Coturnix japonica: one gene and its partner. The protein of the gene in region 1 interacts with the protein of each later gene in a biochemical or structural test. Links are inferred from orthologs where the notes say so. Each region holds a gene or a part of one and is shown in the gene's direction. Other genes may lie near its edges.

Region 1 (3,815 bases):
CGCAGCTCAGAGTTTGCATAATAATAATTGTCCACAAGCCAATAAAAGCATACGGAGTTGGCTGTGCTTGCACTGTAGGCTGAAACTGTCAGTCAACCCTATTTGTGCTTGTCAGTTCAGCAAGTCATGCCACAGAACTTGATGCCATTTTCAGTCTTTTTTCGAAATAGAATTACTACATACCTGTATATCTTGCAAAATTCTTAAATTGTGTCTTTTTTAAATAGTGTTGCTTTTTAACTGGAAAGTGTAAAATATAAGTTAATGTATCATAGCTTTATGAGAATGGAAGTGTCTCTTCTTAACTAGTGCTTATCATTCAATAAACAGTATTTTTTTGACATTAAAAATTGGAAAAGCTATTAAATTTAAGCTTGCTTAAGAATGTTTTATGCTTGTGTTCTTATATAGCAAAACCAGCTCCTCTAGAAATAAAACCTCTGCCCGAATGGGAGGAATTACAAGCCCCAGTTAGATCTCCTATCACCAGAAGCTTTGCGCGAGAGTAAGTTTCCTAGCTTTTCTTCATTTGGATTGTTTCTGTTGACTATAGCATTAATAATGTATATATACATCTGTGTTGTATTTTCAGCCTGTGTAATATAGATTCTTTTGGAACTGTGTGTATGTGTATGCATGCATTAAGACAGAAGTATGTCAATGTTAATTCTTATTTTTTAATAATGTATGTGAAGGACTGTGTAACCAAACAATGAGGCACTCTAGTAGTCTTGAATGACAATTTCAGCTCTAACGTGCTTATTTTTATTGTTTACCAGGAGGTTTAAGATATTCAAGATGTATTGTTTGTAAAATAATTCCTGGTAATTAGCTCCTCCAGGTTTCCCATGTCTCCCAGACCGGATTCAGTTCATAGCACAACTTCCAGCAGTGACTCGCACGACAGTGAAGAGAATTATGTATCCATGAATCCAAATCAGTCCACTGAAGACCCAGTATGTAAAATCTACATCTTAACTACTCTCTTCCTGTGCAGTCCTTACTTTTAAATCATGCAAACACAAATCCTTCCATTCAACATCACCTTCATTTGTATGTCTAGATCAAAATTTAAAAAAAAAGAAGAAAAAAAAAAACCTCTACTGCAATTGTAATTTTGATAAGATTTCATTGAGGAAGAGATGAGCATAATCATATATAGGGAATATGGTTAGCATACGTTCAGACTGCAAAATAGATCAGCAGATGACTTTATTTTTCTCTTCTGTAGAAACTGTCTTGTCTTCTGTAGATAGTTCTAGAGCATGCGACAGTTCAATATCAGGGCATCAAGGGAAATGAGCTATCATAGGTCCTCTGAGACAGGCTTAAAACCTTTATTAAAAAGACATTTGAGAAATGTGGAGGGTCCGTGGCAGTGGGAGGGGAAGTTTGATACGTTGCTTATTTTTCCCCTTTTGGGGAGAACTTTTTGGATGGAGGTATCTCAAATATTTAGCATTCACTGAAGAGCTAGGTAAGAGAAGTTACTGATATGCTGTGGTTTTCTGTTCTAGTTTTCTTCAGGAGAGAGTACAAGGGGGAAAAAAAAAAAAAAAAAAAAAAAAAGTTAAGTGAAAGGTTAGCAGTAAACCTAGGCCTAAAATGAAACCTAATCCATTCAATCCTTGAAGCTCTGGGGGAAAACCTGCACCGCTACCTCGGTTTTTGGGTCAGAGTAGTTTTAGTGTGATGACCATCTTTCTGCTGCTTCGACTTCTTATTAGGGAATATGTTTTTCGTCTTTAAAGTTGTATCAAGCTATGGTTCTTTGAGGCAGAATCTGCTTACCTCTGTTTTTGTTCTTTTTATTACTCTGCTGCCTTCTATGGCATGTGCTATCCCATTTCACTTAACCCTTGGCTCTTCACAGTGCTGCTTGCTACCCTATTCCCTGCTGTCCCAGATACCCTCCCTGGTCTCCTCCAGTCTCTTTCCCCTTGTGCTCTGTAGCTGCCTGTGGATACCACCTTTTACGACCCCCCTGAGTGAGCCCCACCTGCTGATTTCTCTTTGGCACTTGCGACTCAGTGCAAGCTCACGAGCCTGCAGGAGGTCCTGGCTCATGCTTAGATCAATGTCTGTCAGACCTGACAGCAGCACAGGCAGGCTTCCTAGGTGAAGTGCGCTTCAGCTGTGGGGAGCCAGTGATGTAAAAACTTAGCTCCTCACAGAGTACTGTGCAAGAGGCACTGGTAAGTAATCAGTAACGTCCCCTTATACAGATGCAATAAATGTCCTTTTTTGCAAAGGTTTGGAATTGCCTCTACCCACAGTAAAACTGCAGCATTGCAATTAGAAGTGGGAATTTCTGCTGATTCTTACAGTGGGTGCTAAGATAGTGTTTTTAGTGTTGCAGCTAAGACAGCCTATCATCAGTATCCTTCTGTTTGCTTGCACCATTCATTTTCCTGGGTTGTTCTACAGATTTCCTTTCATTCTCATTTAAATGTATTTTAAGTTTGGTTTCTTATACCTGTGTTCTACCTGTTTAGTTTGCTTAAGATAAAAAGATGTTTAATGACTAAGAGTTTTTTATTATTATTATTATGCTGGAAACCTTAACACAGATGCTGCTTTTATGTTAAATATGTAGAAATATATTTAAAGAATTGGGGTGACAAGAACTTTGCCTGTTGTTTGTTTGTCATTGTAACCACTTAATACGTTAGATGATACAGACATAATGTATAACAGCATGAATTTTAAAGGCCCGGCCTGTTAAGCTCTAACCAATAAAATATTTTATTTCCTAGAGAATCTGAATATTTCCAGGTATCTCAAAGCCCTTTTTAAAAATATGCATAGACTTTTCAGAATTTATTTATTTCATTTTTTGCTTCAGCTACATCTCAGTGGGAACTCCATACTTTTAAAATCCTTTTCTGTCATCAGCTTTGAATCATTTCATTTGGACACACTGCACTCCTGTTTTATTTAATAAAATCAGCGATGTTCTGCTCTCTCTTTCAAGTTGCTGTCAGCCTTACCCTTCTGTCTTTCCTTCTGCCTTCCTCTTCATTTTTTGCTGACTGCTGCCCTCTGTCTTCCTTTTTTTTCTTTATCTTTTAGAGAAGAGTCCTTCTATTGTACTGTTCCTATAACACCTGTTAAGAGGGAGGGATCAGGCTGGGAGAGGACAGAGGAGGTGAGGTTGTAAAAGTCTGGGCTAATTGAAATGTAGGTATATGCAATACAACTTCAGTTTAGGCAGTCCTGCACAAATTATCCAAAGTGATAATCTTTTAGTTTTGTTAACTTGAATAATGCATTTTGGTTTTAAGCTTAGTTATGATAGATTCGAGTGAAACTGAAAAGTCTTGTTTGAAGCTTTGCTACCATTGAAAGGCTGAAACCTTCTAAAATATATAATGGCCATTTAAAGTTTTTTGTTGTTGTTGTTGTTTGGGTTTTTTTTAAATTGTAATTAAGAAATGTTAAACTTGAGACGTGTAACACCAAAACAACTCCCTTATTACCTCATGATATGAAAGGGGTATTAGGTGGAAGGTACAGATTGATTTGATGACAATCTTAATTATGGGGGGTGGTTTTTGGTTTCCTTCCGTCCATTCCCTTTGGCTTTTGATTTTGTCCCAGGCTTAACGTTGTTCTGTTTCTGTTTAATTTAACTGTATCTATATAACATCAACAAAACTTGCATGGTTTAACTGGGTGTAAAAACTCAGTTCTTTAACCTTCAATGTTTTGACAGGTTATAATAAGCATATTTGATAATTTGGATTGTTAGCATGTACGTTTGCAGCTGAAGTTCTCTATGTTACAATTTCAGAATCTGTTTGGTAGCAACAGTC
Region 2 (4,264 bases), on another chromosome or scaffold:
CCACATGCTCATCATTTCCTTCACAGAACTGCATCAGATTTGTGCAGTGGGACTGCCTTCTGCAAAAGCTACAAGGTGCAACCTCTATGTCATTTCTCTCTTCACGGTAATCTTTTTCTTCATTATGGTTTCTGCATATTAATTTCAGGCATACAGAAGTTAGACCTGCTGCTCTTTGCATCCCCTCAAAGCACTTTTAAAATGGTTGGCATCATGTTTGCTGCTTTTTGCCCTAATATGGAGACTGAGTTAAGTCCTACATTGTATGTCACAGCTCAATTGTTCAACCTTTACTATTTCACGCTCCGTTTAATTTTCAGTCAAGATTTCTAAAATACCGAATCCCTGGATTTACTCCCATTCTTATACTGATTTGTCCTAAAACCACTTCTAGTTTCCCTGGCTTTTCTCCACAAAGAAAACCCCAATGTGGGAAACAGCTTACATCCCTTTGGAAGACCCACGGATGCTGAGGATTCACTCAGCTTTTATGCCTCATCCTTATCTTCTTTGAGCACCCTTTTTACATCTCAATCATCTGTCAGCCTTACAGACGCTCTGGCAGGCTTCCTGCTTCTGTTGTCTTTGAAAATAATTTTATTACGTGTTTTTATGTCTTCAGCTCCTTGTTCCTCAAGATATGCTTTTCAACGAACCTATGATGGTTTCTCATTTAACTTGCAGATCTGTGCTCTTTTCTGTTTTCTATAGTTGGGTAGAACTCACATTTTTTGAGGGATCGTACCCTCTGTTATTTGGCTGTTAAACAAGGATGGGCTGAGGCAGTGGCAGCAAACTGACAGCACCATTAAAAGCACGTGTCATACTGAGTATCTTCAACTTTAGAGATTGAAAATGGTCTGTGTCCCACTCTGTCCTGTGATGGACACTGTTTCAGCATCCGTCCTCCGTCCTCCATGCCAATTCCTGACCACCCTCATCCACACACGTGGACCCATTACCACCGTGGCACTGTCACTGCAGGGAGGAGCCTGCATGGGCTGAGCTCTCCTTTCCTTCCTTTCCCCTAGACAGCAACACACCTCCTGCTTTCTAGAAAAGTGCCACAGGAGAGGAGAGCTACTGAAAAAAGGTATGGGGCAAGTGTTTCTCTGAGAGATGGGGGACCAAGCTAAGTGGGAAAAGCTCTAGGGAGGGAGGTGGGATCTTGAAGGGAGAAGTAAAGCACTGCAGGGCAGGGGAAGAGCATGGGATCCCTATGTCATCTTGTCGGGTGGCTTCCACACCAGAGCAGTGCTTGTGAGAGACAAATCCCTGCATCTTGGCCACATCCAACCAGCTGGGAGCTGTGGGAGGAGGTGGGGTAGACTGGGCTGGGGAAAGCAGCCTCTGGTCCTCAGCACCAGCAGAGATTCATGATGTTGTGCTCTCACAACACTGTTCAGAGTTGTGGCACTCTTCAGCGCTGCCTGTGCATGGCGTCTCAGGGTGCTGCCCTGATCTGCTCTGTGTGCTTGGAGCAGTACGAGGCCCCAGACTTCCCGGGGTGACCAAGAGCCATCCTCACCTGGCTACTTCTTACTGACTGCTGTTGGTCATAGAGCTCTATAAATGTTTTCCTTCTCTGGATCCTATTCTTTGTAGGTTTATTTTGTCAGAGCATTGTGCAAGGGCTCAGCCCAGAGCCCTGCATTCCTTTGGATGGCAGCACAGCTAAGACTGAAACATACAGCGCTGAGCACTTTAGTAGCTTGTTCTCCCTTATAAATTTTACTCTCTTATCACTGACAGTCAGCGGAGCTGTGCCATTAACTCAGTAACAAGAGGCTTGTGTTTTTGGAACGAAATATTCCCATGCCACTTGTATGTGGCTTAGCTGGTGACAACAAAGCCTTTATCTATCACAGCTCTTCTAGATAACGGGTCCCTCCGCCATTGTTTCTGCTGAAATGTCATCAGGAGTTTCTGTACAGATGTTCAGGGTTGAATCCTGTCCCTGGTTGCTCATCAGTCCGATAGGTTGCTCTTGCGGAGCGGAACAAAGACGCAGCAGCTCGCACTGTGTCTGTCAGCACGAAGCCTTGCTGGATGGAGCTGCCTGCTGGAGGTATTTGTGCTGCAGGCAGGGAGATCAACATTCTGTTCATAGGGCTGCTTTAAGCAGCCACTTTGTAGGAAACCGTGCTTTCTTCTGTGATGTTAATATGTGAGATTGAGTAGGGGTGAACCTGAGCCATCCCAGAGTGATAAACTTCATAGGAGGTGACCTTCCCTGGCATTGTTATTACTGAATTTTAATCCAATTTGGTGTAGGGGAAACTCTTTGGGATGCTGTTGTCAGATTACGCTGCTTGCTGACATGATTTAGGCCTCAGCTCTTTTCATCAACAGAGAGGCTGATGTTCTTGCTCAGGGAATGGCACTCTGCCAAACTGAAATACCTACCTCATGCTCTCAGAGCTGGGCTGCTTTTCTCTTCACTCTTGATGAACCTCCTGCAGCATCAGTCCCACGGAACAGCAGTAGCCCTGTGCCCATTGGATCTGCCTCGTTGCAGTGGGGAACTGCAGAGAAAATTCACCTCCATGCAGAGAACCGGCACAAAATGGAAGTACTCATCAGCCTATACTCAGAACTGACAAATCCTCCTTTAAAAGTTGCAGAGGCTTCATGCTAAACCCTGCACAAAGGTGATTTTTTTTCTCTCTCAGAACATTATGCACAGTCTAAAATTGTCCTTGGTTACTTGAAAGCTTAAAGGAGTTGCACCAGGCAGTTAAAAGCAGAATCTGACTGCCTGCAAACTGCAGTGCTGTCCTTTGGGATAAAAGGTGCTTGAGAAATGGAAGTTCTGATGATTACCTAAAAAACTCTCATCTTGGTGTGTCATGGGGTAGTGCTCAAAGTCACACACATTCAGAGAGCAAAAGAAAGGGCCCCTGGAGGAGATTTTTCATGAGGGCCCAGCACTGACCTGCACATCCTCGAGTTACAGATGGAGGGAGGACTGGGATCAGAAAATAGAGGTGGTTTGAAGTTCAGGTGATGAAAAGTGGTAGGCTGCCATTCAAAGACAGGATTATGGGTTAGTGCTTCTTTAGTAGTTTGTGGGGGAAGAGCTTAAGGCCACAGCATTGCTGATTTATCAACACAGCCAACACTGTGCATGGTATTTGAGTCGCTTCTAAATCCAGCCGCTGGCAATGAAAAGCACATTTAATCCATGTGTTAGATTGTTTGAAGAGGTATCTGTCTCCTGGTCTCTCCCCATGGTTGTGATTGCTGAAATTGAAAATGAGGTGAGAGAGGAGATTTTAACCGTTTCACAAACACTTCTCTCGAGAGGGTCACGGCTCCAGTGGCATCTTTAGCACCTGGGAGACTGAGAAATGAAAGGCTCCCCATCCCTTCCTGCTCCCTGCAGAGAGAAGCCCTGCTGCCTATCCTGTGACTGAGGAGCAAAAATCAAAGACAGGATTTGTATTTATTGTTTTGAACTGGTTTGGGGCTTGGAGGTTTTTTGTTTGTTCTCTTTGATTTCTGTTGTTTGTTTGTTTGTTTGTTGTGCTTTGTTTTGTGTTTTGTTGTTGGGTGTTTTTTCCTCGAGATGAGATTAATGCTCTGCATTAGGAGTTCCAGGATTCATTTGCACTGTCGGCTCTGATCCCCACCACCATATGAAGAAATACTGAAATAAATCCCTTACTAAAGTAATTATCCTTGGTCTTTTTTCTTTGGTTCTCTACCGTGAAAGAGTATTATTGTTTATCTAGTTGTCCCAATGGCTAATTCCTCCCCTATTTAAAACCCTTACACTCTATCAGCAAGAATGGCTGTGGGAAGTTACAAACAGGAGTGCAAAGAATGTCAGTGCAAGAACAGAGGACAGTCTTCAGATCAGGTCTGAATTGCATCCATAGAGTTGCACCTGGAATAAAAAAGGGGCAATTAGACAGCAAGCTTAAGCTATACTTGCAGCTCTGATACACATAGAGCAAATGAGTAAGAATTAAAGAGCATCAGTAAGTGGATGGAGAGAAAATGGGGTGAAAAGGTGTGGAAGTTGCTTGAGAATGAGGTGCATTGGTAAAACATAGACTGTTACAGGTTGGTATGGATGTATTGGACAAAACCTCAGGGCTCTGGTTGGAACAGCAGGCATGTGGCAGGTCACAATGGCTATGTGTCACGCTACCCGCAAGTCCCAGCACACAAGTCCTGCTGCTGTAGGACAGGCTGATGCTCAATAGGCAGAGCTGCCTGTGGACTGCTGATCAATCTGCCCTGGTACTGCATAGCTCAC

The links.
Region 2: the proteins of GAB1 (region 1) and GRAP2 form a complex in vitro, tested with the Homo sapiens proteins (2 studies listed by BioGRID and IntAct, with this or other methods). The link is inferred for Coturnix japonica from reciprocal best matches to the Homo sapiens genes GAB1 and GRAP2.

What each region holds. Positions count from the first base shown.
Region 1 is NC_029519.1:26,860,434-26,864,248, forward strand, and holds part of GAB1 (GRB2-associated-binding protein 1), read left to right. Parts: intron 1-411; coding exon 412-505; intron 506-832; coding exon 833-956; intron 957-3,072; coding exon of another isoform or gene 3,073-3,148; intron 3,149-3,793; coding exon 3,794-3,815. UniProt on the Homo sapiens protein: Adapter protein that plays a role in intracellular signaling cascades triggered by activated receptor-type kinases. Plays a role in FGFR1 signaling. Probably involved in signaling by the epidermal growth factor receptor (EGFR) and the insulin receptor (INSR).
Region 2 is NC_029516.1:45,896,127-45,900,390, reverse strand, and holds the start of GRAP2 (GRB2-related adapter protein 2), read left to right. Parts: upstream 1-1,160; 5' UTR 1,161-4,264. UniProt on the Homo sapiens protein: Interacts with SLP-76 to regulate NF-AT activation. Binds to tyrosine-phosphorylated shc.